7 linked regions of the Coturnix japonica genome follow. The protein of the gene in region 3 interacts with the protein of the main gene of each other region in a pairwise test. Links are inferred from orthologs where the notes say so. Each region holds a gene or a part of one and is shown on either strand. Other genes may lie near its edges. The genes, in order: fatty acid-binding protein, adipocyte; MRPL44; VIM; SIRT6; SMARCB1; YAE1; TXLNB.

What was found.
Region 1: the proteins of VIM (region 3) and fatty acid-binding protein, adipocyte interact in a two-hybrid assay, tested with the Homo sapiens proteins (2 studies listed by BioGRID and IntAct). The link is inferred for Coturnix japonica from reciprocal best matches to the Homo sapiens genes VIM and FABP4.
Region 2: the proteins of VIM (region 3) and MRPL44 interact in a two-hybrid assay, tested with the Homo sapiens proteins (2 studies listed by BioGRID and IntAct). The link is inferred for Coturnix japonica from reciprocal best matches to the Homo sapiens genes VIM and MRPL44.
Region 4: the proteins of VIM (region 3) and SIRT6 interact in a two-hybrid assay, tested with the Homo sapiens proteins (2 studies listed by BioGRID and IntAct). The link is inferred for Coturnix japonica from reciprocal best matches to the Homo sapiens genes VIM and SIRT6.
Region 5: the proteins of VIM (region 3) and SMARCB1 interact in binary tests that used the Homo sapiens proteins (3 or more experiments, as listed by UniProt). The link is inferred for Coturnix japonica from reciprocal best matches to the Homo sapiens genes VIM and SMARCB1.
Region 6: the proteins of VIM (region 3) and YAE1 interact in a two-hybrid assay, tested with the Homo sapiens proteins (2 studies listed by BioGRID and IntAct). The link is inferred for Coturnix japonica from reciprocal best matches to the Homo sapiens genes VIM and YAE1.
Region 7: the proteins of VIM (region 3) and TXLNB interact in binary tests that used the Homo sapiens proteins (3 or more experiments, as listed by UniProt). The two-hybrid records come from large-scale screens. The link is inferred for Coturnix japonica from reciprocal best matches to the Homo sapiens genes VIM and TXLNB.

The regions. Positions count from the first base shown.
Region 1 is NC_029517.1:109,983,698-109,987,742, forward strand, and holds the start of fatty acid-binding protein, adipocyte, read right to left. Parts: upstream 2,801-4,045; 5' UTR 2,726-2,800; coding exon 2,653-2,725; intron 1,424-2,652; coding exon 1,251-1,423; intron 1,027-1,250; coding exon 925-1,026; intron 1-924.
Region 2 is NC_029524.1:7,918,896-7,923,106, reverse strand, and holds MRPL44 (39S ribosomal protein L44, mitochondrial), read right to left. Parts: upstream 2,801-4,211; 5' UTR 2,760-2,800; coding exon 2,602-2,759; intron 2,523-2,601; coding exon 2,054-2,522; intron 1,070-2,053; coding exon 891-1,069; intron 666-890; coding exon 494-665; 3' UTR 128-493; downstream 1-127. Other genes in the region: MFF (mitochondrial fission factor), read right to left, coding at 3,742-3,873. UniProt on the Homo sapiens protein: Component of the 39S subunit of mitochondrial ribosome. May have a function in the assembly/stability of nascent mitochondrial polypeptides exiting the ribosome.
Region 3 is NC_029517.1:18,030,649-18,034,879, reverse strand, and holds the start of VIM (vimentin), read left to right. Parts: upstream 1-1,431; 5' UTR 1,432-1,513; coding exon 1,514-2,058; intron 2,059-2,114; exon of another isoform or gene 2,115-2,135; intron 2,136-2,152; coding exon 2,153-2,213; intron 2,214-4,231. UniProt on the Homo sapiens protein: Vimentins are class-III intermediate filaments found in various non-epithelial cells, especially mesenchymal cells. Vimentin is attached to the nucleus, endoplasmic reticulum, and mitochondria, either laterally or terminally.
Region 4 is NC_029543.1:1,710,488-1,714,513, reverse strand, and holds the start of SIRT6 (NAD-dependent protein deacetylase sirtuin-6), read right to left. Parts: upstream 2,801-4,026; 5' UTR 2,719-2,800; coding exon 2,653-2,718; intron 1,985-2,652; coding exon 1,857-1,984; intron 1,486-1,856; coding exon 1,303-1,485; intron 1,147-1,302; coding exon 1,087-1,146; intron 523-1,086; coding exon 427-522; intron 190-426; coding exon 109-189; intron 1-108. UniProt on the Homo sapiens protein: NAD-dependent protein deacetylase, deacylase and mono-ADP-ribosyltransferase that plays an essential role in DNA damage repair, telomere maintenance, metabolic homeostasis, inflammation, tumorigenesis and aging.
Region 5 is NC_029530.1:7,053,063-7,056,562, reverse strand, and holds part of SMARCB1 (SWI/SNF-related matrix-associated actin-dependent regulator of chromatin subfamily B member 1), read right to left. Parts: intron 3,111-3,500; coding exon 2,973-3,110; intron 2,738-2,972; coding exon 2,610-2,737; intron 2,318-2,609; coding exon 2,151-2,317; intron 1,935-2,150; coding exon 1,744-1,934; intron 1-1,743.
Region 6 is NC_029517.1:76,799,809-76,804,005, forward strand, and holds the start of YAE1 (protein YAE1 homolog), read right to left. Parts: upstream 2,801-4,197; 5' UTR 2,700-2,800; exon of another isoform or gene 2,636-2,699; intron 2,575-2,635; exon of another isoform or gene 2,464-2,574; intron 1,324-2,463; 5' UTR 1,230-1,323; coding exon 1,005-1,229; intron 73-1,004; coding exon 1-72. UniProt on the Homo sapiens protein: The complex LTO1:YAE1 functions as a target specific adapter that probably recruits apo-ABCE1 to the cytosolic iron-sulfur protein assembly (CIA) complex machinery. May be required for biogenesis of the large ribosomal subunit and initiation of translation.
Region 7 is NC_029518.1:48,828,089-48,831,588, reverse strand, and holds part of TXLNB (beta-taxilin), read right to left. Parts: intron 2,368-3,500; 5' UTR 2,274-2,367; intron 605-2,273; 5' UTR 591-604; coding exon 173-590; intron 1-172. UniProt on the Homo sapiens protein: Promotes motor nerve regeneration. May be involved in intracellular vesicle traffic.

The sequences.
Region 1 (4,045 bases), about 92 Mb from region 3:
ATATTCATAGAAGCCTAAGATTAAAGCAACATCAAAGGACTTCTTTGGCCTCCCCAGGAGACTGCTAATCTCACTTTCTGGGCCTTAACACCCAGGGAGCACTTTTGATATAGGCAGTTGTCTCTTGTCCCCTCACCTTCTCTAGCTGTGGCTCATCTTCTCCATATGTGTGTGCAACAGATACACAGACGTATGCAGTGCAACTTACAGCTGCGTGTGTCATCCTCTGCATTTTAGGCTCTGTCCTCATCTCTTGTTCTGCTACATCAATTTCTGCTCTCTTTAGTCTTTTCTAATGAATTCGTTATCAAACACTATTTCTTATTTATTCTCCTTTGGTCTTTATCCAAATAAAGTATTAAAATTGCAGACACATCATTTTCTCTAGGGAAGGCAGAACTCTACAAGAATTTAATGTATGTGCATCATTTTCTAGCACGTAGGAATCCCAGCTGCCTTTTACAAGGACATCGTTAGTTTTCCCCTAGGTATTTGGAAGGTTCCTGGTAGTCTGCAACATGCCCCTTAGACATTGCTATGGGGGAGGGGTCTACTGGAGATGAACAGAAGAAGTATTTTGTGTCAGAGAGGGTGCACCTAACACAGACTTTATTAATGCATTCTCTATCCTGTCCAGAAAATATAAACATTATAAAATATAAACATTTCCCTTACTGAGATTATAATTCACCCTATTCTTTCTTAGCCATTTGTCGCTATGGATGGAATGCAGATACCTCTATATCATTCCATAAGCTTAAGAGCCTTTCAGTTTTAATACATGCTGCAGACTTGTTCAGAAGACTTCTTTCTCAGTGCATAGTCTTGTCAGATGTTTTTATTGCCTGTGTTTGAATCCAGTGTAATATATCCATCAAAACAGCATTCTGTTCTGAGTTTTGTGATTAGCAAAAAAGAACTCACCACCACCAGGTTTCCATCCACCACTCTTCTCTTGATAATAGTCTCTTTGCCATCCCACTTCTGCACCTGCTTCAGTACGCCATTGTCTAGGGTTATGACGTTCTGTCAGAGGAAAAAAGCAAAGTGTGACTATTTCATCAGGATGCTTTGGGCCAAAGAGAATACTTTCTCCATGCCCAAAAAGTACTGAAGCAAAAAGCAGTCTGAGCACATTTACGTTTGAAGGCAGCGTTTCAAGAGTGGATGTCAAAACAGCAACTCTGTCCTTCTTTTCCAACAATCTTTTTGAAATATATATGGTTGGAAAATGCCATTTTTGGACTCACCTTTGTTTTTCTGTCATCTGCTGTGGTCTCATCAAACTCTTCACCCAGCTTGAAAGAGGTCTCTGTGTTCTTGAAGGTACTTTCTGATTTAATGGTTATCACATCACCGTTGATGGTGATAGTTAAATTCGGCTTGGCCACACCAGCCATCTTCCTGGTAGCAAACCCCACACCTGTAAATTATAAAGGACACTATGAAAGTTTTATCTTCATGATTTTCCCTTATCTGGGGAAAATATGGGAATCTCACCATCACTTTCTTCTTCTTTTTTTAATTAATACTATGTAGGAGAGGTTCTTTTGTAACATCTCATTAGCTTGTATGTTCATACACCAAGCCAGATGGGATGAGATAAGGGTTAGGGTTAGGGTTAGGGTATGCTCTGTTGTCAGAGTAGCAAAAGCAATATTTTGAAGACTGAGACAAAGTTTCACTGCCAGATATTTGCACATGTGCATGCTCCTGATAACTGCAGTGATTTATGCACTAACTTGTACACTATATCTAAAAGTAAATAAGCAGAAACATATGACAGTTTGTAAGCCATGAAAACAAACAAATACAAAATCACTTAAACTGCAGATATGTTTACCAGTGGCTAGGCTGAATGAAAGGAAATGATTAAGAAATAGTTGGCAACTCTTATGTCCTGAGTAAAATCTGGGGTAAAGATGAAGAATCTCACTGAAAGCCATATGAATGCATGCTTCAGAACTTGCAGTGAGTGCTTTACCCTCAATCTCTAAATAACTCCCTGGACTGATCCAAACAGTGCAAGTTACCCCACATTTCCCCCATCTTAACTGGAGTACGCAAACTTTTTAAAGCCCAATTTTAATTCAAAGTGAGAAGTCTACACCTTTAGAGTGTTACTGATTGGATCTTCTGCAAGTACCTGCAGTATCTGCATGAATCTGTGCAACTTCCTTCATTAATATTCACTGGAGACAGTCATAGAGCTTCGTACACTGTCTCTGATAGCCATAAAAATTAATCAGCATCCTAGTCCAAGAGCAAATTTAGGTGTGTTGCTCTTTGACGCAAAGAAGCTGGCTGCATTCTAGCATTACACTACTTTGTACTTCCAAAAGCTTAAAAGCAAATTCACGTAAAATGCTGCAGCAAAATGTTTACTTTCATTTATAGCACTACCAGTTCGGCATGCATAGACTTGGCCTACCTGTAACTATTCCTCCTAATCAGGATTTTCCTGTGTTATAGGAGTGTGACAATACTAATCCAAACAGCCAAGTTCTCCAGCATAAAACTATTTAATAAAAGCAGTTGGACTAAAAAGACCTTAGTAAACAGCATAGCCAGAAAAAGCAAGTACGAAATAGATCTTGAATTCAGCATTCTTTCCCTTCCCCAGATAAAATAATTTCAGGTAACATTTCTCACCCAGCTCTTTCATATAGTCCTCAAAGTTTTCACTAGAAAGGAGCTTCCAGGTGCCCACAAACTGGTCGCACATTTTGTCAGGCCAGGTAGCAGTCTTTCACAGGATCAAGCAGAAATAGAAGCCGTGAGGATAGTATGAGCTCCAAGAGATGAGCTTTAAAAAGGAGCCTCGGCCACATGATGTACTAGGATGACCAATAAAGAGGGAGTCCTTAGTGCCCAGTGTTTTCCTTCCTCCCCTACCCCTCCTTTGCCAGTAGGTCACAGTGTTATTATTCATATGCCCTTACTAGCACAAAGATCACTGTCGTTTTTTTATTTAATTATTTTTATAATTCAAGAAGACACTTCACCATAAAGACAAATATTAAAATCATATTTTCTCTGAGAAGAAAAAGTTAGATTCAACCCCAAGAGGGTATGCTGCCTCCCATATTCCTTTTCTTTCATTTCAATCCTTTATGTTGTATGAAAACAGTTAATTCCTAGGCTGCAAGATCTGAAAGACTTGGGATCGTTTACTTTTCTTTTTGCACAACTAGAGTTAGTGATTTTCTACAGAGAGTCACAGAGCTAGAGGAAAAAGTGGACCTGGGGGGAGAACGTGGGAGTGCCGGTGGCTGTTGAAGGATATGTCCTACTTCCTTGGCTGAGGACTGAGATCCAATCGGTCTGTGTTCTGCTTTCCTGGGATGCAGTGGGGACAAAGTGTTCTATGAAATGCAGAGTAACACAACTGATGACTTGTCTCGCTTTTACTTGTGTTCCCTCCAGTGACCTATGTCCCAATGACCAGCATGATGACTACTTCTTGCAAAAATCTAGGTAATGGTATCAGCCCACTGAAAGTCTCTGGATTTATCATTTTCTTTCTGTTTGCATTGTTTGTTTATGTAATTATCAGCTCGAGACAACGTGTATTCGGGCCTAGCATAATGAGATCTACTCTGACCAATTCTCTAATGCTATCTTAGCTCAGATCACAAAAAAAAGGAGGCAGCAATTTACTAGACATTCCTTCTGGCTGTAACACGCTATTACACTGTCAGAAAAAAACACGTGCATTCAATCATGTACATTCTTCTTTATTATATTTATTCAATACACTCTTCTGATCACTGAAACAAATATGTTTGTCCACATATTTTGACATAATGATGTAATAACAAAATTGTTTGTATATAATTGTAAGATTATAGGAAAATTCAGATGGGATGATGCAGCCTCGGGCAGGGCCAGCTCACACTGGGCAGCCCAGGGCTGCATCCTCTGGAGAAACTTGGACAACTCTGAGGATGGAGCTGCACATCCTCGTGGGAAACTTGCTCCCTGTCCAGCCCTGTGTCCCTGGGGAGAGAGGCTCCTCATCTCCAGTCTGAAATGCTCTTCTTTA
Region 2 (4,211 bases), on a different chromosome or scaffold from region 3:
GCTGCTAAGTGCCATTTGCTTTCTTAAACCAGACCACCAGCATCAATCCCACTGACATCACGTTCTACGTTTTCACCAGGCCAAGGACAAATGGATCCAGACACAACTCACAGACCAACGCTGCACGTTAAGTTCCACTCATCTTATTAGCAGCACCTCAGAACCAGTCCCAAGGAAGCACACAAGACACTTTTTTCTATAGATTCTGAACACGCTATTAAACATCATTAAGAACCTTCTCCTGTCATTACACTTCTCGGCCAAAATACATCCATTCAGGAAGATAAAGGAACTTTCCCTGTTGAGGACAATGCCTGGACATTAAACATTATATATAAGAAAGAGAATTCATTTGTCTTATAACCATATTTAATTTGAAAATTCCAGGAACTTGACATCAGAAAACCAAACTGAACTTTGCTCTCCTGAAGGTGTCTGAGTTCAGCATAGAAGCTGTTCATTCTTGAGAGAAACTGGAAACAGTCTGTGTTATCTAGTTGCTGCTGATGGCCTTTTCAGCTGTCCATCCTTCTTTAGGATTCGAGTAATCCCACGGCCTCCTGTTCTCAGTGTACCCATAGAGCTTCCGCAGCGCCACGCGAGCAGCTTCTTCCTCTGCAGCCAGCAGCGTTTCCCCGGGCCCTTCAGCTATGAGCTTCTTATCACTGGGACAAAAGCAAACACAACGTTTTCATCAGAATCCTGAGCACTGCTGTACACCGTGGGTCAGTGCTGCTAAATGTGTTTCCCCCCAGTCTATCACTACTGCATGTAATTTCTACATACAGGCACCAGCACACACATTCCTGCTGTTTTTTTTCTTGCAAAGAGGAGCTATTGGATATTCAGCAATGGAAACTAGAGACCATTTACATTAATACCATACTAACCAGTACAGCCCAATGAAGTACAGTGGCAGAACCGTGCTGACCCCCAGCTGCCTGGTAATTCTTGGTTCTGGAGCAGCGATATTTCTCTTGGCCAACTCTTCCACCAGCAAACCCATAGGATTTACAACCTCCCAGATCTCAAACAGGTCTTTTCCAATCAGTTGGGGAATTAAAAAATCCTAAACAGAAAAATATTTAGAAGTTAAGGTCAACGGGAACAACAGCTCTAACTCCTACTGCCTGTGAACAAAAGCAATACGAGTAATTAATGCACCTGACAGCAGATAACTGGAAGGAATAACCAAACTGCCTCAGCACTACAGCATGGCTGAGCAGGACCGGGAGGTGTCGGTGCTGCTGAGCTCTGCTGGCTGAGCTGCTCAGCGTGCACACCAAGACAACCTGCTCCCCTTGAAAACGCAGCACCCGCCTGATGGGCTCATAGTGCTGTGGGCAGCTCTGAGTGCGAGCTGAGCAACTCAGCACTGATTGTAGGGACACCCAAACAGAGGCTGCGTGCTGCAGGGTCCTGCCAGAAGCTGAAAGTCCCACACAGTCCCATGTGATTTACACCTGTTCTGACCACTGTCTTGTCTGGTAACTGCTGCTTGCTCTTACAGACCCCACCTTGTATCACAAATGACATTTTAGCTAATAACTTCTCCATTCCAACATAGCAGTAAGTGAAAAGGACAACAGCTGTCCAAACTACCTTGTTATGCTGCAGTTTAACTGAGTGTTCCAGTATGAAAAGATCTTTGGATCTTTGTGCTCCTGAGTGCAGAACTTATGAACTCAGTGTGTTTGATATGAAATTAAAATGAAAGCATGCAATTTTTTTTTAAATTGAAGGCATATGTAATCTGACATGGGACCACTTCATTGTTTGACAGGTAGCATAAAACGTGGAGGGAAACACTGCTCCTTAATGAGCAATAGCAAATAGGAAGGCATTGCTGTTATAGGAGTGCACGGCTTAATGTACCTGAGCAGCCTGAGCCTTTTTGTTCTGGGGCAAGAACCCAACAAGCTCTCTGGCTCTGGTCACTAAGGAACAGAGTAAGACACACTTTTTGCCTTTCTTCCTATAACTTCGCCCTTTCCCCCCCACCGACACCATCCCTTATTGCTATCAGCAGAGAACACCACTAAGTCCGGCGCACCCTGACGAAGAGCCCGGCTCTCTCAGTCCCGCTGCTGCCCAGCAGAGCTCCCACCACCGCGAAGAACGTGTTGTGCAGCACGGCCGGCGGTGCAGGGAACTCCTCGCACAGCACCAGGTCGTGCAGCGCCAGGTTGTGCGCCACGTAGGACACGAGCTGCTGCCCGGTCAGGAAGGACACGAGAGCCGCCACCCCCGGGGCGGGCAGGCGGGGATGGGCGGCCTCGAAGCTCCGCGTCAGGTACGAACGGGCGAACTCCATCCCTCGGGCCGACAGCTCCGCGTTGTCTCGGAGGTTGAGGGCGACGGCGTCTTTATCCACGCCGAGATCCCGGCGCTTCGCCTCCTCGCTTTTAATGTAACAGGAATTCACGAAGGCGGTTTTGAGGAGCTCCAACGAGAAGTTCTCCTGCAGGCGGTGTCCGAACGCCTGGATCTCGGCGTGGTAATCCCAGCCGGGCCGCTCCGAGCTGCGGGCGAAAGGAAACGCGGTCAGAACGAGGCGGCTCCGGCATCACGAGCGTCCCCCGCCCTCCCTGCGGCTCTCACCGCCGGCGCGGCGCCTCCCGCAGCCGCTGCATCTCCAGGTAAGCGCGGACCCAACGCTTCTTGTCGCGGCGCGGCGCGGAGCCCGGAGCGACCCGCCCCGTCCCGGCCGCGGGCAGCAGCCGCCGTGAGCCCCGAAGCAGCAGCAGCACGGCCGACATCGCGGCGGGCCGGGAAGGGAAGGTCCGTCCGATAACGCGTCCCCCGGACGGAAACGCTCCGAGTGGGAGCGGTACGGAGCGCACAGGAAGCGACGGAGTAACCGGTCCGTCTGTCTGTCCGTCCGGATGGGCTTCACAGCGCAGTTCCACTGCACACCAGGCCAGGCAGCCCCACATCAGGCTCTCAGCTGTCTGCTTGCTGCTGCTCTTACTTCTCAGGCTTCCAATTCAGACAAACCCTCACAGTTAATTAAAATAATCTTAAACACATCTTTAAATTATTTGTTTTATTAAATACACTGCAGTGGGCTCTCGTACACCATCATCTTTTGATTACAGCCCGACTCACTTAAAAATGTATTTTATAGAAAAAACATCTGCAAAATGAAAGCTAAAATGAAAAGAAACAAACATGTTACACACCTCTGGACAGTCTGCATGTTGGCAAAGACCTTTTATTGTCTGACCCGAACAGCCTTAAACTAGGAACATACTCATGAAACAGGACTCACTCCTTGAGCACGGCACAGCTCTGATACAAGTGAGACTGAAGGAGAACCAGCAGTGCCGTGATGTGCACTAACAACAGATCAATAAAACCTTGTTTTTATTCCTTTGTGTTGATGTTTCTTCCAAACCCAATTTGATCGGGTTTTCCCTCCTAACCACAACAAAAATCCAGCCTTTATTCCTGTTGGACACTCCTTACATTGCACAAAGCTTCAGTTCAAAATCAGCTGATCCGTATTTACATTGAAGCATGCAAAGGAGGATACTGCGAGTATTCACAATGCGAATCTATTAAATACAGCATAACTGAACAACGAGGTGTCCCTTTAACACCGCAGTTTCTACAGCCTTTTTCTGTGGTGGAGGTTTCCAGTGTATGAATTATAAAACAGCATTACAATTCAGAAACAGAAACAAAGAGTTTTGCAAATTTTGTTGGTATTTTGATCTACTAAATCTCTCAGAGCTGTGCCTAGCGCCGAAACCAAAGCCAGCTATTGAGCAGCCAGAAAGCTACAGTAATTGAATACATGATCATCTCCCTCTTAGCACGCTCTTTGTTTTCTTCTTCCAGAAGCTGGAGACGCCGATTAAGTTTGACGATCTAAAAACAAACAAACACTTTTAATAGTTTTAATAAAGTTGCCAGACTTTCAAGAAGCTTAATTAAGAATTAGCGTTGTGCTTGATGGATTTTAAACTCCTGTTTATGTAACTTTCCATCTTCAATTACTAACCTTGCTGCCCCTGCTGAGTAGGAGCAGAAATGGAGCTGGACTCTCCAGACCTCCAGAACAATACAGATTTGTGCAGGCAGTGTGGCAGGGATACAGATAGCAGACCTCAACACACCTGTTATATAACTTTATATTACAGCAGACAACCTGCTCTCCCATTTTACCATTACAGTTTTTCCTTAATATTATCAACTGTTATGCTTTA
Region 3 (4,231 bases):
AGTGCACCTTAGCAGCCCAGCAATCTGTGACAGCTCCCGGTGAGCTGAGTGCAGCATCTTCCCTTGGGAGCCGCTTGCTGCCTCCCTCTGAGCTTTTTGCCTGTGTTCCTTTACTTCTTATCGCCATCAGAACCAAACTACAGCACAGAAAGGAACACAGGCACTGAGCAGCCAACCAAAAATCTCCCACTACAACTTTAATTAAATATTAGGGCTCTGATTCTTCCCATAAGGTACAACACCTGAAGGGCAATAGCCAACCCTACTGTGAGCTGGGGTACAGACATCACTTCACTCCCTGCCCGCTGCTCATGTTTAGGTTTATCAGAACTCCCAACATAGACATTGCTTCTGCAGGGCTGCAAGTTAGAAAAACTAAATCCAGTGGTAGCATTACACCCCATAAGTGCAGATAGCTTTGCATTGTGTCAGTCACTTTTAGAGCAAGGAGGAGAATGGTGTCACCAATCAGATGCATCAGTGTGGGATAGTTCCCTAGGAGAACGTGCCTCGGGCTTTGGGCAGCCCAGCTTTACGTTCCCTAAAGGACAGGGATCTCACCACCTCCCTTACACCACTCCGCACTCACGCTTAAAATGGTCTTGGGGAATTCTTTTACTGCTGCTCCGGTTTTTCCCATCCAATCTTACGCCAACACTATTGGTTCTCCTGTCTCACTTGGCAGCCCGACTGCGATAGTGCAGTTGCAGTAGAAGCATGAGGCATGTCCTGCCTTTGAGGCTCTTTGGGGATCACTTCTAACGAGCTTTTTGTAAGAGCTCTTTATTGAAACAATGACCGTGTGCCTACAGAAACTAAAAGCAAACAGACCCTTGGTTAAACCGCTCCAAGTGACCAGGAGCCCAGCGCCCGAAGGCAGAGCGGTGTCCCTGCTGCAGCCGTGGCAGTGCGGCAGCGCCCGTCCGCAATGGGCGCAGCTCCGCCGGCATCAATGAGGGCGGGCCCCCGGGAGCCGCTGAGCCCTGAGCACGGGACGGGAGGCTGCGGGTGCCGTCGGAAGCAGCTAACCCCAAACCTATCGACGGTTCGTGTTTCTGTCTGCCCGCTTTGGATGTCTGGGAGCCCTTAGTGAATAGCGAGCATCGCTCCCCCGATCCCGGAGACTTTCAGCAAGATACGGAGAAAGGGACGGGGCTCGCACAAAGTTGCACAGACGCATTTTTAAGCGCTCGGCCCGTGCTGGGAGCGCTGTCGGAGCACCGCAGCCCGTCCTGCCCTCGGAATCACTGCGCTGTCGGAGGGGCGTAGGGCCCCAAGGAACCTCGGCAACCGCCCCGTGTCCCGCCGCCTTTGTCCCCGAGCTGTAACCACGGACCCCTTCCCCCCCAGCCCCTCCCCGCTCGGACGCGGCCATTGGAGACGGACGGGGCGGGGCGGGGCGGCGGCGCCCCATAAGAGGGGCCCCGAGTTGGGGCCACCGCCCTTCTTCGCCCGCCGCGCTCCGAGCCCCGCTCCGCTCCCGGATTACAAAGCCGCTCCGTTCCTTGCCGCCATGAGCTTCACCAGCAGCAAGAACTCCTCGTACCGCCGCATGTTCGGCGGGGGCAGCCGGCCCAGCAGCGGCACCCGTTACATCACGTCCACCACCCGCTATTCCCTGGGCAGCGCCCTCCGGCCCAGCAGCGCCCGCTACGTGTCCGCCTCGCCCGGCGGCGTGTACGCCACCAAGGCGACGTCGGTGCGGCTGCGGAGCAGCATGCCGCCCATGAGGATGCACGACGCCGTGGATTTCACCCTGGCCGACGCCATCAACTCGGAGTTCAGGGAGACCCGAACCAACGAGAAGGTGGAGCTGCAGGAGCTCAACGACCGCTTCGCCAGCTACATCGAGAAGGTGCGTTTCCTGGAGCAGCAGAACAAGATCCTGCTGGCCGAGCTGGAGCAGCTCAAGGGCAAAGGCACGTCCCGTCTGGGCGACCTGTACGAGGAGGAGATGCGGGAGCTGCGGCGGCAGGTGGACCAGCTGACCAACGACAAGGCCCGAGTCGAGGTGGAGCGCGACAACCTGGCCGACGACATCATGCGCCTGCGGGAGAAGTGAGTGCGGGGCCGGGGCTGGGCGCGGGGCGGGCACCCACCCTCACATCCCTCACCTCCCTCCCTCACGTCGGCCGTGTGTCGCTGCTTGCAGGTTGCAGGAGGAGATGCTGCAGCGGGAGGAGGCCGAGAGCACCCTGCAGTCCTTCCGACAGGTGGGCGCGGCCGCCGCGGGGCGCTGGGGGCGGAGGGTCGGGGCTGGGGCTGGGGGCTGGCGATGCGGGCTGGCTCTGCCCGCACAAAAGGCGCTCGGCGCAGCCCCTTGGTCTCCCCGTTGTTTTCTTTAGGGGGGTGCCGCAGTCCGGAGGGGAGGGTGAGGCTATTGTCCCACTTTATCCCGGTCTGGCCGGCTCCACAAAAGCGCTCCGACGTGGAATCGCTTTCTGATCCAATAGTTGTGAAAAGGCGCAGCCATCTGCGCGCCGGGCTGAAGGGTATTAATGGTTTCTATGGGATTCACCGAGGAATGCAGATCCAGGCATTATGGCCGGTGTGGTGGCAGCAGATTGAAATAATGGATCCCTTTGTGTTGGAGGGGAGGCTGCCGTGGGCTGCATTCCTACCGAATGTGTAATGGTGGGGGCACGTTCCTGGGGGAGACTCTGTAAAATACTGAACTCGGTTCTGGATGAGCCGCATCACTTTGCACACTCAGGAAACTGTCCCAGATTTGAAGTATTTCCTATCAGTGGTGTCTGCTGATCAGAAGCAGACAATGGGTTCCTCGGGATGAGCTCACAGCAGCTGTCTGTATCCCCTTGATGTGCATTAAGAATGTAGAATTCAATCCCTTATAAGCAAAGATGTTAATGTAAGATACAGTGCACCGGAGTTTGGTCTGTAGGAAGCTGCGGTGTCACACAGCTGAACCAAAGCCGATGTGACAGCCAGAACCAACTGTGAAGCCTGCGGAAAGTTCTGAGCTTAAGTTTTGATTTGTGCAAAACCAGCTCTTGGCGTGGATTGAGGGCTGGTTGGACGAGCAGAACTTTAGGAATGTGCCTTCTCAAAACAACAGAACTTCCTGAAAACTGCTGGGGTGAAAAAACACTGCTATCACTCCTCTGAGCTGGAAGCAGCTGCCCTGTATCTCCAGACAGCTGGGCGCAGGCTGACCATCTTAGAGCTCTGCATAGGCAATAGTAGGTGTCACCATGTAGGAAGCTGTCATTTGGTTTTTAGCATTTCCCTGGTGGTCTTAGTGGGGCAGTGTGGGAGCAGACACATGGCAGGGGCTGGGAATGAGGTGTCCACTGACATTGTGGGGGCTGAAGCTTGAAATAGCAGTTCCAGGTATTGCCTTTAACCCAGGCTGCTGTGTTACTAGGGCTGAGCCCATCCAAGTAGTTGCCAAGTCAGTGCAGATGCATTTCCCCTTTTTGTTTCAAATTACTAGAGTTCAAGCACAAGCTCCTTTGACTTAAAGCTAGTTCAATCATGCGTGCTTCTCTGGTGCACTTCAAGGCACGTCTTCCTCTCCCTCCAAGCAACACAGCTTTGTAAAGGCTGCGGGCTATTATGTGAGCTGTGCTGTGCGTGCCTCACATTCATTGTCTGCTTCCCTGCCCTGTCACTCAGCCTCCAGCTGCTCTGCCCATGCACTGAGCCCATGTAACCACTCAGCTTTACATGTAAAAACTGCAGATCATTGTCTGAGTTGATCAGTGGCACAAATAGTGCATGCTGCTGGGTTTGGTTTGAACAAAAGTATACCCAGTTTTTCCCTGCCACAACAGAGTAGTTCTAACGTGCAGATTTAGAAGAGAAAGTACGCTTGAGAGTTACTGAATTTTTTCCTCTAAACAAGAGATGCCACATTACTTTCCACGTATACTGCGGGGTGTTCTACATCAAATAAGCCTAGGGATTTGGTGACTGCTTTGTGCAACAAAAGAGGCATCATAATTAATGAGGAAGTTATGTACCGCAGCTTTGTCAGATGCTCTGACAGCAGGGAACAGATCTGAGCCCATGACAAGGCACACAGGTCAGCTCCTGGCTAACAAGGGCTTTCCTGAAATAAATGAGGATGTTCAGCCATTAAAGACTCTCTTCAGATAAAATCAATATGTAGTCAGTCCAATTACTCATATGTGTGACTGAAACCTTGTTTGCTCAGGCTATTAATACCTTTTTCATCTACATGGCTCTAAAGTGTGCAGAGTAAATGCAC
Region 4 (4,026 bases), on a different chromosome or scaffold from region 3:
GGGCTGCTTGCTGTGGTACTGGCAGAATGCAAAGGGCATAGACACCCTCCTGGGTCATTGCAAGCTGCAGCAATCAGCAGTCATGATATTCAATTCTAAATATGGTACCTGCAGGCTTCATCTGCTAGTGTGAGGTCACGGTCAGGCAGGGAATCTTCCCAGTCCAGAATAGTGTCTCTTAACTTCCCTCTATAAGAGACACAAGGACCACTGTTACCCTGCCAGGCAGGAATGGTCAGCAGAGATGGCTAGGAGACAAGTAACAGCTCTATAACCCAGACCCCCTGTCGCCCTGCAACACAAAATCTGAACATCAAAATCACTCACTCCTACCTCCCAGGTACTCTGTGTCCCCTCTTCATTTCACAGCACCCTGGGAAGCCCCATCCAGCACCCCTACTCCCATAGCTGCCCCAGCAGACGTACCTGCAGGCCCGTAGCCCTCGTGCTTTGGTGACGCTGCACAGCCTGCCCGTTGGCTTCAGCCCCATGCTGCCCACAACAGCATCCCGCACGTACTGCCTGCACACACAAGAGATGGTGTTATTTACAGCCACACGTATAGGGTGACTCACAGCAGCCACACATAGAGAGGTGACACAGCTGTGAAACATCCCCACAATACAGCATGTTCCACATCACAGACACCTGGGAGTGAAGGAAGCAGGTGATGGCTCAGAGCCACATGCAATGAGCTGGGCACCCAAATCCTTCATCAATTTCAAACCACAGCTATTGCTTACAATAATTTCCCTTTTAGGGAGCTTTGAACATCAGCTCCAAGGCCAAGAGAGGCTGTTACCATCCAGGATGCAAAGCCCAGCCTGCAGCAACCTTCTGTTACCTCTCTAAGCAGGCAGCCTCACTTGCCACAATGAGCAGAGGGTTTCCCAGGCAACAGAGGTTTCTCAAAATGTTTATTTCCCACAATATGACAGGGTTTGTGATTCAGATGGGACAGATCTGACCATGATTCCATGCACTCTGCACTAGGGACCTCTCCTGACAGGCAGCCCCAGGTCTGTGCAGTCCCTCCACTGTTCCTTAGGACAACAACAAAGCCCCCACCTGCTGCTGCCCACGTACTTGCCACATTTCGTGCACTCCTCCACAAACATGTTCCCGTGGAGCTCAGCCAACTTGTCCCTGTGAGAGAAATGACAGAAATGAATGGAGAACACCTTGTGCATTTAACACAAGAAACATTGTTCCAGGGTGGTTTAATAAGGTAGGGAGAACAGCCATGCTTTGGCATCTGGGAGAGACTAAAGGAACCTGGAGGCAGGGTGGGAGAGGCAGTACCGTGGGAATCCTGAGCGCACATGAAGGCCATCCACGTTCTGGCTGACCAGGAATTTCAGGATGCCGACTCTCTGCAGCCCCAGAAGTGCCATGTGAGTCTTGGAGGGCCTGGCGTTCTCAAAGGTGGTGTCAAATTTGGGGGAAAGCCCCTTCTCTTCCATAGTCCAGACACCATTAGGCCCCCTGCAGCAATGGGACAGGAGAAGGAATAAGTGAGATCTCAGGCTCTGCTACGCTGCTTGTAAATGCATCCCAAGCCCTATCAGTGCAAGCAAGGCACTGCTAAACAAGGACCACACATTCCTGGTTATTTTAGTTCAAAATGCATGTAGGGCTTCTGTGGGTACAGTTTAAAATCAAAACAGGAAAAGGTAGATTCAGCTGGATATAGGACAAGACAAGAGCAAAGAGGACATGAAAGGATGGCACAGGTCTCCCTATAGGCAGGATGGCTGGCAGGAAGCCCAGCCTAGATGGAAGATGGACTCAGATGAGGTGCTGTTGTGTCCCCCCCCCCCCACACACACACAGTGCCTGCTGCCCTCTGCCTTTACCTGAAGTCAGGGATCCCTGAAGCGGTGCTGATACCAGCCCCTGTGTGGAACACCACATTGGAAGAGCTCCTTATCAAGTCTGCCAGCTCACACACCTTCCTCTCCAGCTCTTCAGGTGGATCAAAAATCTGAGCAGAAGAAACAAATCCCAACGTGAATGGGGATATAGAAATGGGTCCTACATGCCTCCTGGTAGGCACAAAGAGTCAGCAAACCACTCTTCTATCACATCCACAATGGAAACCCCACGCAGGAAAGGAAATTTCACATTGCTTAATGCCAAATGTACATAATGAGGGAATAAGGCTTAAAATGAGGGAATAAGGCTTAAAAAGAGCAGGATGGGGGACAGCGATGGATGGGGGTCATGGGCCCATTCTGATTTTTGGCACAGCACAAATTCATTTCTATAGGACGGTTCTTTGCTCCCTAGAATGGGACAGAACTCCGACCCTTTTACAGCCCCATATCCTCACCCCAAAGCTTTTCTTAAGCTTATTGAGCATGAATGTGGGGGTTGGGGGGGACATAGGGATGGGGTCAGCCCAGTAGTGCCCACCCCAAGGTAAAGGGCCGGCCCTAAAGAATAAAGGGGACACGAAGACGGGGTGACAACGGACACAGAGCAATAGGAAGAAGGGAACGGAGGCCGGGACCGGGGAACCCAAAGACCCCATGGTGCTTGGGGTCCCCATGGGGCACAAGGCCTATGGAGGCCTTGGGGTCCCCATGGAGGCCCTATGGAGGCCTCGCAGGCCTCAGGCTATGCAAGGAGATCCCTCCACTCCGCTCTCACCTCGGGGAGGCCGCATTTGCCTTTATCCGAGTAGGGCGAGAGCCCGGCCGCGTAATTCACCGCCATGACCCGTCCCGGCTACCGGAGAGCTCATTGTTGTCGGTCCGCGAGCAAGGAGGCCGCGGCATCAGTGCGCATGCGCAAAGGCCTGCCTAGAGTAGGCCGCAGCCTCAAGACGCATGCGCAAAGCACTGCCTAGAGTAGGCCGCAGCCTCAAGACGCATGCGCAAAAGTCACGCCTAGAGAAGTCCTCGCCGCCATCTTTGTGTTTGGCAATAGGGAGCTCTGCCCTCACCCTGCTAATACATCCATTATAAAACATAGAACTTGGAGTGGAAAAAGACAAGGAGCTGCCTATGCTAAGAGGTGCCATGCAATGAGTGCATACAAAGGCAGAGGGCATCAGCTCTGCTGGCCTCAGCCATGTCTTACAATACCTTGTCTTACAATGTCTTGTCTTAAAATGCCTTGTCTTACAATGCCTGCAGACCTAGATCCATAATAGGGCTGTGATAGAATGGCTTAGGTTGGACAGGACCTTAAAGATAATCTAGTTCTACTCCCATACACTGGTCAGGGTTACCAGCTGCTGGGTTATGATCCCCAGGATCCCACCCAGCCCTGAGTGCCTTCAATTGGCATCCCCAACTTCTAACCAACCTGTTCCAGCATCTCCCTGCCTTATGAATGAAATATTTCTCCTTAACACATAACCTGAAGCATCGTGATGGTTTCAAACCCTTCTCTCCCTCATCTGAGGCTTCCCCAGCCTTGCTATAGTACCCCCTCCCTTGCAGCTGCCCTGTGTCTGGGTGCAGGGGTTTCAAGGATGTCAGTGCTCCTTGCCCTGCCTGGTGCTGGGCCCTCCCATGTTCCCCCCCCCCGGGCTGTAACTGCAGAGGTAACCCAATGCCAGTGTGTGTGTCCCCCCCCCCGTGTCGTGCTGTGGGCCAGCAGCAGTGAGACAAGGTACAGACAGGGCTGGTGTTGAGCTGGACCCGTAGCAGCAGCAGAAAAGCCTTCAAAGCTGCCCTCTGCAACAGCCACATCCCTACAGCCTGACCCCAGCGGGCAGATGAGGCTTTAAGGCTCAACCCAGGTACCACGGGACTGCTATGAAGAGCCTGAAGGCCAAGTTCAGGAAGGCAGATGTAAGTGCTGTCCCCAAGGACATAGGGATGTGTCCTGGGTTGTCCACAGGGATGTGGGGATCTGCCCTGGGGTGTCAGTGGGTTTCGTGGGGGTATGGGGACACAGAGATCTGCCCTGGGATGTCCCATGGGGACATGGGCACCTGCCCAGTGACCCAGCTTCCACTGGGATCATAGTTGTGAGCAGGGCAGAATAAAGGAAGGGAAAGCAGCACCGAGGAGA
Region 5 (3,500 bases), on a different chromosome or scaffold from region 3:
GCGGAATAACTTTGGAGCAACCATCACTGCTGTGGTTTGGGAATTCAGGAACTACCCAACCACAAAACCCAAACATCATTAATCACAGGAAGGTTTCAAAAGTACTCCTTTGCAAAAAGAAGAGAGGGAAGAGGAGGGCATATTTGTACTGTGACAAAAAAAGCAAGTCTTAAATTAGGTGCTTTCTGCCTCTGAATGGTTCACAGCTATTGTACTTTATTTCTGTGCTTTCCTTCCTCGTTTTTAAATCACCCCCTTAAAAAATGGCAACAGCCTAAAGAAGGCCTGAAATCTACCTATTTGAGCCACCCCAAAAACAAAGCACTCTTCAGCAACCAGGGACACATATAAAGTAGATGTGTAAAGCAGCAGGGAAGAAGAAGCAGTACTAGAGGCATCATATTGCCACTGACTGCCCTCCAAGCTCCCACCCATCCTCAGCAACACATACCCACTGCTCTAGCTGTTCCACAGCACAGATCTGCAAATATCAATCTGCTGTCATGGATAGCAAGGGAGAAGTCAACTCCCTGCTCCTAGAGAAGAGTTTAACTTCCATGTGAACCACACTAGGGATTAGCTGCAAGCTTCCTTGAGCTGACCTCCACAAAACCAGCGCCAGTAGCACCTTTCTCCCACCTCTGCAATACATCACTTGCTGAACTCTCAAACTTCCTCAAGTGTCACCATGGCCTGAGGTCAAAAAACCCACCAGCACACATTAAGGAATACTTAACAGACTGCAGACTAAGCAACATATGGAGGATAACATCTGTGCAGTACATTGCCACAGAACTCTGCACAGCACAACTGGAAATAATTAATATTAGGAGGCAAGTTACAAAGCTGACTAATCAAACCTGACACTGTTGCGTTCCAGCTAAGAGAACTGCCTGTGATCAAACCAACCTCAACTTCATCCAGGGCAGAGAGCTACAGTGTCAGTCAGGCTTAGCTCAGAAGACCAAAGCTTGGCCCAGGTCAGACAGAGCTGATGAGACAGAAACGTATCCAAGGCTCATCATGTGCAGACATTAGAAGAAGGCACAAGGTTTTCTGACAGTGTTAATTAGAAAAGCCTTTCACTCTGTGGCAAAAACTGATTTCATTGATATTTGGCCCTGGGATGCACTACACCCACCACAAAAAGATCTCTGAGCAAAAGCACAAGCTGGTTGAGAGGCACCAGGATCTACAGAACAAAACACACCAGGCTCCAGATCAAAACTCTTCATTTCTTCACCAGTCAGGCAGCCAGCAACAAGGGGCTGTGCCTGAGGAAGACATGACTGCAAATGTGTCACGTACATTTAGAGTGCTATGGTTAGATCCACTACTAACATTTCTGTTATCCAGAGGACTCCATCCATTTCATACAAGCAGCACAGTGTCTCTTACAGCTCACCAGTAACACCTCACCGTCCCATGACGTGTGACTCACTTGCCACTTCAAGACAGACAACTGTCCAGAACAGTGAGAAGAAATGAAACCATGTGAGCTGCTAACCTTGCACAAGCAGTGGTCCTTAGATAATACCAGCTTAGGGGATCACCAATTGATGAAACAAAAGGATGTCCAAGAAATAAAACAGTCTTTTAAGAACTATATAGTATACAATCTATAAGAACCAATTTCAAATTAAGCTTTCTACACTGTGTCAGCAGTTCAAGATTCGTTGACGTTAACAGCCATGAAGTAAGAAAACACATCTACACCCATCCAGAAAGATGGCAGTTCTGTACCTGAAGGCGTATGTCTTCTGATGCCAGCTCAGCTGTCCCCGGATGCTGTAGGCAATAGTAGTGACAAACTCCCCACCCAGGCCAAGCTCTGAGCACAGCTTCAAGGCAAACTTCTCTGGTGAATTCTCCTTCTCTGACATGTCCCATTCAAACTGGTCTACAAGGGAGATGTTCCCTACGTGGATGTTAAGCTGGAGACAAGGGAAGAAACGAGTCATTCATTTCTCAAGGACAAAATCTAACCTGGATAAAGGATTGGAATTAGGAACTCCTTGGTTTTGAGGGAAGTCTTTGTGCTATCTCTCCCCCATAAATAAATAAACAAAAAATCCAAAAAACCAAGAACACAAAACTAGAGAAATGCAAGTATAGTTCAGCTCTCATTCTACTGCCTCCCTGTAATTTACCTTAATAATAACACGCTGGTCTGACTGATCCTCTAGGATGCTGTCAGTTGGGTATGATTCAATCTGTTGTCGGATGGCAGAGGCAATAGCAGGGACAAAGGTCAGAGGATTCAAATCCAGGTCATCACAAAGAATCTCTGAGAACATTTCTGGGGTCATCAGCTTTTCTGATACAGAACAAGAAGACATTTTTCTCAGCCACCAATGTCTGCCACTTACGGAATACACAAAATTAAGATCCCATCTAACTTTTCAGATTACAGGTATTCAGGAATTACTGCAATCCATGGAAGTGTTAGGGATCTGCTAAGAGCCATGAGAGCCGAATAGGACACATCACTGTAGAAGAGCTTAAAAGATTTTCCTATATGGGGCAAGGACTTGCTTGTTCTCTCTTCATATTTGGTAATGAATGCAACTGTATTTTTCTAGTCTCAGGAAACTCTCCCTCCTACATACCATTCATGTTCCATGTAAATGCATCTCTGAGTTTCTGTCCATCAATTTCCATATCAAGCCTGATTGGAACCAGAACCTCCGGCTGGGATGCGTTCTCATGGATGACTGCTGGGTCATGGTCATCAAAGCTAGAACAAAGAACATCAATAGGGCATGTGGAATAGAAAATGATACATCTGGCATGCATAGAAGGAAGGTGCTTTTTATTGTTACCATCCCTATACTTCAACTTTTCAATTATTAGACATAATCCTCAACACAAAGTTACAGGGCTCTGGCAGCCACCTGCCTATCAGAGCAGCCCCCTGCAGTGTGTCATGTTAGTAACTGTTTCCACTTTTCTGAAGAAGGAAGCTGTCTTACCACAGAGGGAAAGTCCTCTTCTTGTCCCTGCCCATGCGATTTCTGTTAATGGTTGTTGAGCATGGTACTGCATCCAGGTGATGAGAGCTGTTGGGCAGTGTCGGCACCCATTGGTTGTTCCTCTTTGCCTTCTGTTCTCTGCAGAATGACACTCTGTGTTAACCTGCAGGCCCCGAACACCACTGCCACTATTTTTAAACTTAGTATCATAAATTACGAGTTCCTTCCTAATGACAGTTGGACTGAGAACTCATTCCACATTATTGCCTTCAAACTCCATTTTCCGGCCCACAACTATCCACTGCATACGAATCCAGGTGTACCACCAATACATGCTTCATATTTGGATTTCCTGTCTATGTTTACAGAGGAACTGCTGAGAAATGCGACATCTCCAGCAAAAAGTATGCGCAGAGAGTGTTCTGCAGAACATCTGCTACAGTTGGAATGAAGTAACTGCAAAATGAGCTGTATCATCAAACACTAATGTTTTTCTTCCTGTAATATGTGGGCAGCAACCCAATCCTT
Region 6 (4,197 bases), about 59 Mb from region 3:
TCTATAACCTTGATTGAAGCCTTCCTGAATTGCAAGCTCTTTCCCAGCCTCAACACCATCTCTATAGCCCTCCTATAACAGAAGTGGTAAAACACACTTTTCACAGCCTGCAGAATTGGACCTACAAACACTTCTACAACAATAAAAAACCTTAAGCACTTAGTCTCTTAAATCCAAGTTTTTTTTTTTTTTTTTTTTTTTAATTTGAACACTGCACTCAACTACACCACTGCTAAAGCAAAACACATTTTTTACAGTGCATTATAATTTACTGTTAATGCTGCTGATCTGTTAACATGCAGTTCATTTCTAAACAAACCTCCAGCTAAGTCAGAAAATAAAGACTTGTCTACAGGAAAGCACTTTTACTTTTGTGCTGACCAACTCCCTTAACAAAGTTTCCTTGGAGAATTGAAATTTATTTCTTTCTCCTCTAATCACATTACCATACATTTATGTTCTTCACCCACAAGATAAGCCCTAGTGGGCCCAGTTTGAATGAAAACATCTGTCAGAGAAACCCAAGTTTATGTATTTGTTTTGTTCTCTGCTTTCATAAAATGTATTTTTCACTAAGATAATAAATAAGCCAAAAAACTACTCAGACCTGAAGTAGTTCACACCAAATATTAAAAAAACAAACAAACAAACCCAACAAAAAAACACCAACAAATATCCTCTATTCTTTGTTAGCATCAATTAACCTACAAGTATGAAGCAAGTAGGTTACATGAGAATTTAGCACTGCCATTCAGAAATGCACATAGTTGTGTAGAGGGAGTCAACATCTTTTTTGGTAAAACATTACTTTGTCCTGACAGGCTACTGAAGATAGTAACTTCCTCTTAAATTTTTTTTAACACTCAGAAGAAACCAAGCCACAATAACTTTCATACAGCCATTCTTAGTTTTCTCATTTAAATCAGCCATATTTTTAGCAAGATATGTTACTGGTAAACCTAAAATATTTTAAAAGACTATAAAAATCATGCTTAGAGAAATACCTTCAATCTTTTTTTCATGGTGTTATTCCATTCTTTCTGTACTGGATACATCTCATCTGCATCTTCATCAAATATGTCCTCATTGGATCGACTAGCTACAACTTGTACCCAGGACATAGCAGCAGTGATGACACTTAACTTTTGTTTATGGCCTAAAGCAAATACTGAGAAACTCTCAGAAGTCTCCCAGCTAAGTGTCAGATTAGAAATAAAAGTAAAAAACATGAGTTCTGAAGAGAAGCCGTATCAGGGGATGATTATTCAACCTGTACATTCATTTCCATGTGAAAACTGGATGCTATTCCTCACTGGAGCTCATCTGTCAAAGGAGACAGAAATTATTACCAGTAAAGCACCTTGTGTGATTTACAAGGACAACTTAAGACTAATTTCTTCCCTTCTTTGCTTCTTATGTCAGCAACAAACAGAAGTGCACCAAATTAGCATTTCTATATGTTGCTAGTAACTTGAACAGCAGACAGAAACACTTATCCAGAGCTATAAAATTTTGATAGCAGCCAACAAATAGTCCCATGCAGCTTCTAAGCAGTGCATTAAATTATATGCATATCTAATTGCCTGCAATATTGTGATCTTGACAACTGATGATGAGTTGCACCTTTGATCTTCAGTTTCCTAACTCTGCCAGATGCTTAATGCTTGTAAATCCTGAATAAAAATATTACTTTTTTTTTTTTTTTTTTTAATAATTAGTTAGCAAGTTCTGATGTAAAGAGATGAATAAATAATGTGATTACTTCATCTTAGGAACTGATAAGACCTTAAGAGGCCATTCACAGTTAACTGGAGCAAATTCTTACAACCCACAGAATGGTGGATACAAGGAAGTGTGGTGAAATCACGCTTCTGGGTTCATCATATCCAATTTTTATCTTAAGCAAATCTTCCAGAATTTCCAGTACCATTACACAGAGTCTTTTGGAAAGCATTAAAGCAGTTAAACAACTGGTCCAAGAACTGCAGTTCTTCTTATACACAAAGTTCACTAATGTGAACTGACTGCTTAATCAGCTTATCCCTCCCAATGTCCAATCAAAAAGTGGTGAAAACATCCAAGTAAATACAACTTTACAACAGTACCTCAGGCTTGAGAGATTATTTTTCAAGATATTCAGCAAGACAGCACTTGCTACCAGATGTTATATTTCCTTAAACCATCTCTATTAAGTGACAGCTTATTAGCTCCAAAGTGAGTTTCACAAATAGCCCCTACACAAAGAGCAGAGAAGGGAGAACAAAATGCAGCAATTAATGGTGTAAGGTAGCAGGTGCGGGAAGGAAGAAACTGTTCGGTATGTCATAAGAAAAGTGAGCTGGATAGATGAGAGAGCTGTACACCTGGTTCTCTATGATAAGATTTCAGAGTGATACTGACTGCAGAAGATACCAACAGCATTTAAGGCCCGCAATCCCCCAATGCCAGCACGTCCCGGCACACCTGGAGACCAGCAGGAGGAACCTGAGGGCCCTACGGGAGGAGGCACAGCCTGGCCCGGGGGACTCCAGGCAGAGGCCCCTCGGCCAGGCCACAACCCGCCATTTCACAGCCCGGGCTGGCGCCGCAGCTCCCCACAAACTGCAGGACCGAGAAGATCTATCCCTCTTCCGACCTGTCGGCAGCCAGAATCCCCCCTCGCCGGCGCCATCTGAGTCCCCGCCGCCCTCAGCCCTCACCACGGCCGCCGAGTCACGGCGCTGTTCCGCTCGCAGGGGGCCGCCATCTTGACTGAGGGCACGCTAACTTCGCTGCCCCGGATGCGGCCCGTAAAAAGCCGCCATCTTAATCAGCAGCACCGTGACTTCCAAGTCCGTCTGAGTCACAGGACGCCGGCAGCCATCTTGAGTAAGGGCATAGACTTACAGCTTCCGCAAGGAGGCGGGCCGGGGAGGGAGGACCTTGCCCCATGGAGGGAGTGCGAGCGTGGTTGTAATGGCAGGACTGAATGTGGGTGCTCCTGCTCGGGGCTGCTGCACCGGCCCTACTTCTTGCTTATCACCTTATTCTTTACCCTCAGCTGCTTGATATTCTAGGAAAGGTGTATAAGTCATACCTCAGAGTCAGTGTGAGTTTCCCATATTCAGATTATCTCAGTTTAAATGCCTTAATTTTACCATGGTTGATAATTCTACACACGTCTGTTTAGGACAAATCCTTGTGCATATGAGGAATAATGATGAAGGCTCATATTCCCATCCCTTTCTTTTAGAAGCAGATAATTTAGTGACTCATATTGTGTAAACAGAGCAGCACTATTGGATTATGAAGTGTACTTGCTGAAGACAAGTTAATTGTATGCTGACGGCCTTGACATGACTACTAGCAGGGCTTGAGAGTGAGGTGTAGTGCCTCAGAGTGGGGGCGTTTTCCTAACCTGTGTGTGTTCTACATAAAGCAACATCTGGGTATTATGGTGATGTTTTGCAATGACACATACCAGAGGATTAAAACACATGAACAATATTTCACAGGCTACAGAACTGTTCTGGCATTTCTGCAGAATATGTATATAAGAAGAGTTATCCCCCCCCCACAGTGTGAAAAATAAACAAGGAATTGATTTGTGATTCATTGCCATTTCTAATATTAAAATCTGGATAATTTCAGTCAGATATCTGGCATACAAAGGTACCTTAGAACCATAAATGCTTGGCTCAGCAGTTACTCTCTGCTCACCTGGAGGGTGTGGGGGGGAGTTTTCAGGGGGCCATTACACAATTGTGCAGAGCTTAGGATTGTTAAGGCATTCTTGGAGATGACTAGGAATTGTGTTTCCCGGTGGCGCAGTGGTAGAAATGCCGCGTTGCAACAGCTTAGGGTTGGGTTCGAATCCCCCCTGTGGCGCAAGTGGTAGAACTGCCGCTCTGCTACACAGAGGCCCGAATCCCGGGGGGTTGGACTCGGTGATCTTTTAGGTCCCTTCCAACCCGCACGAGACTATGAGACTATGAAGGATTTTTATCAGTTTGATCTTAGTGTTAAGTGCTGCCATTAAGCAGTCAGCCAGCAGAGATATCCAAAAGTAAAGTATATGAATGTAAAAACCTTTACAGTTATAACTGTGCATAATGCTTCTGATAAAGGATTGCTGCCATTCAGATCAGTATCACACACGCTCATCTTTCAGCCATCAGTGCCTCTAACCCAACTCAAAGGAGGAACCGGTTGATTTCC
Region 7 (3,500 bases), on a different chromosome or scaffold from region 3:
CTGTATCTTTTAGGTAACTGCTGACAATTTTTATCAAATAAAGTTATGACAGCTGCCGTGGTTTTCAGTGGTCCCTATCAGCCATAGCAAAGACTTAAAAAAGGAAAAAGTGAAGCCCAGGGAGGTTTTACTACTGTTAGCAGAATAGCTATGTAAGTACACAAGCACTTGCCTAGTCCTTTCAGGATTTTCTTCTCCAGCTTTTGTTCCTTGCTAGTGCTGGGCTCCTTTGCTCTTGAAGCATCTCCAGGGGCTGGTTTGTCTTTCTCACTTTCTTCATTTGCATCCTCATACTCTGCATCCTCCATATTGCCCACATCTCCCTTCTCCAGCTTGTCAGTTCCTGCTGTAGTGCCATCCTTCTCCATCAGACTTGCTGCAGACCCATAGGTTTTAATAATGTCCTCCAGTTGCCGGCTCAGCTCCTCTGAGATGTCACATGTGGCTGCTTCAGTCTGGGCACTGGTTTGGTCTGTGGGGGGCAGGGGCTGTGAGCTGGGGACAGGTTCCTCCTTGCTTTGTCCCTGAATGTCTTGCCTAGGTGAAGTGGAAACCTGCTGCTGCTTCTCGGTGAACTGGTCATTCTCCATGCTTGGTGCAGTACCTGACAGCAAAACAACATAGAGTTAATTTAAAAGCAGAGAAATCAGTTTTCTCAGTGATCACAAGGCTTGGCCAGGATGTGAGTGATCTGGTGTGGGATTTGGTGTGGCAGGTCATCCTTTCACTTTGGCTTGATGAATACAACACACTGAAACAAACCAACGAGGTGATTTACCTGTTGGGAGAAAAGTGAATTGTACATCTGCCAAGAGGAAGATAACACTGACAAAGCTTGACCTCTTGTTACTGTTGCAAGTGATAAAGCACAAAAGGGCACCAGAGCCATCCATACTACTTCCTTCTCTGAACACAATTTGCCACTTGCTTGTTTTTCTTGATTAGTTTCACCTGCAATACTGGCTATTGACACAGGCAGCTTTGCTTCAGATTTGCATCACTTTCACTTCCTGTTTCTCACCCATCAGCACATCTTAAGTCAATAATAAGGAAAATGAAGTTTTTAGAAGAAGCTAGAGAACTGAGAATTATGCTCTTGGAGTGCCCAGCATGATGCTTGATATGTGAATGGCCTTGCCTGGCAGTGACATAGTAACAGCAACAAACAGTTCATAATAAGATAAACAACTACAAACCACCTTTCTCTTGTACTTGCAGTGCACTGCTGACAGCTTGTTTGATAAAGTACAAAGCGCTGAATAAATCAGAGCATTGTAAAATCAACCAGGTGTAACACAAATTGATATTCAATGCTAGTATCTGGTTTGAATGTTGCATAATTGGCTCCCCAACTTGCAGTGGAGACTTTGCATTTTTCCAGACACATCCAACCCACAGCCCACAGGCTGCATGCAGCCCGGCACAGCTGGCACTGTGGCCTCCCCCTGCCCCATGCCATCATGGCAGCAGCCCGGCCCCTCAGCACCAACCAAACATGGGAGTGCTATCAGCCCCATGGAGGCACAGGGCAGTGCCAGCTCACAGTGCTGGCAGATACGTTGATGGATTTTGATACGTTGGCTAGACACAGTCCTGTGAACAGAGAAAAATACGCAGTGCTTTTTCTTTTGATAAAGTACAGATGAAGCAAACATGTGGAATTGGCACATTCATCGACACTTGCTGAATGCTGAGCAGTGAGGTGGTGGATGATGTGTTTCAACATTCCTTCTTGTAATTATATGATTCATAATAATGTCAGCCAGGTACTTAGTGGGGACAAGGAACAGGAAGGATATTGCTTTGTCAGATCTAAGGAAGCTGCTTTCTTATTTTTGAAAAGACAACTTGTTTTGAAAATATGGAGCTAAATGAGAAGCATTTTGTTTCCTGTTCAGTTGGCTGTAACATATATTTGCTATGGTGTCTAAGCTTCTGCAGCTTTCAGAGACATAAACAAACTTGGCCAAAGGCAGTGTGTGATAACAGAGTTGTAGTTCATTGTTATACATGACATGGTGTTTGTTGTTAAAATCTCCCCAGTCAAAGTGGTTCTCAGTACTGCAGTAACTGTCACTACTAAGGCTAATACTTTTCAAGATTTGATTGGTGAGATATCTGATCAGACTTATGGATATGGTACTCAAATATTATGTTTCATCATCTCTAAAGCAATTCACTGTAAGACTATATTTGAAAGCTTTGAGTGTGGCTCAAGATGTGCCTAAAAGCTGGTATCTACAGAACCATGGCCCCCTCCAAACACAACTCACCAACAGCAATGACTTGGAAAGACAGCTGGATGCAGTCTCATGGACCCCATCAGGCAGATGCATCTGATTCTTTCCTTTCTACATTTGGCACAGTCTGAAAAGTGATGGTAAACTTATATTGGTCAGATTTGGTGTCCTACTGACTTCAGTTTATCTTGAAAGATTAGGCCTTACATGTACAATTTAGGTAAGCAATTTCAGGTTAGGCAGACGTTTGTGATCTTGTTTTGACTAGCATTAATTGACAGCCAATTAATACCACTTCAGTAATATTACTGCAAATGCTAAGCTAGAAGCTCTGCAAAATATGTTTTTGTTTCTGACATGTTCAGGCTAGTATTTACAATTGTATTCATTAATTTGAGGTAATTGGCAATTGGCAATCAATCAGCTAGAAAATCCAGGATCATCAGCTCTTGTTTAGATAGGAAAAAAATGTTGTGAAATATATCCCCAATTTAAGCCATGTTGTTTTGTAATATGTTCAACACAGAAGGATAATCAGATCACAAATGCTTCACTCTCAAACACGAGTTTCTCTTCTTCCTACCTCCCCTTCTCTGTAAGAAGGCACATGTTGATGCTCCTTCTATCAGGACTCGTAGTGAACCCCTGAAGTCTTGTTGAAGACATGAAGTGGGATGGCTGTGTCCTATGTCAGTTCTTCTCCACTAAGAGCTCTTGTGAAGAGCACTGGAAGCCAGAACCTGGCCCTGCTTTCCCTTGGGAGCTGCTTTTCAGCTGTGGGCATACCAGTAGCCCCCTCGATCACAGCAAGGTCCCAGACGCACCTATGCGCATCTTCAGCCTCTATTCGCTTTGTCCCAGACCTGAATGCATCAGTAGGGCATCCCTGCTTGCCTATGGACCTGCCCTATCACTGCGAAAGTGCTGGTGGGTTTGCAATCTGTATCTATCTCTGAACTCCCCACATACCCAGCCCTGACCCTAACCCATATCATGGCTCCTTGCGGTGAAGTCCCTACTTCCGTCAGCCATGTCATCATGCTGGCTCATGGCTCTCTTCCAAGTCTTAACAGCATCACTCATGAAGCATCACTGTCTGGCTAAGGTTCTTCTCCTAAGTGAATCACTAAGACTGCCTACAAACACAGTAGGTTCTAAATCAGCAGCAATGATTGAGTTATAAACAGTGTTTCTCAGTTAGAAGTGAAACACGTGGGTGAACTGAAGAGAAACTGAATGTTTTGAAAACAAACAAAACAA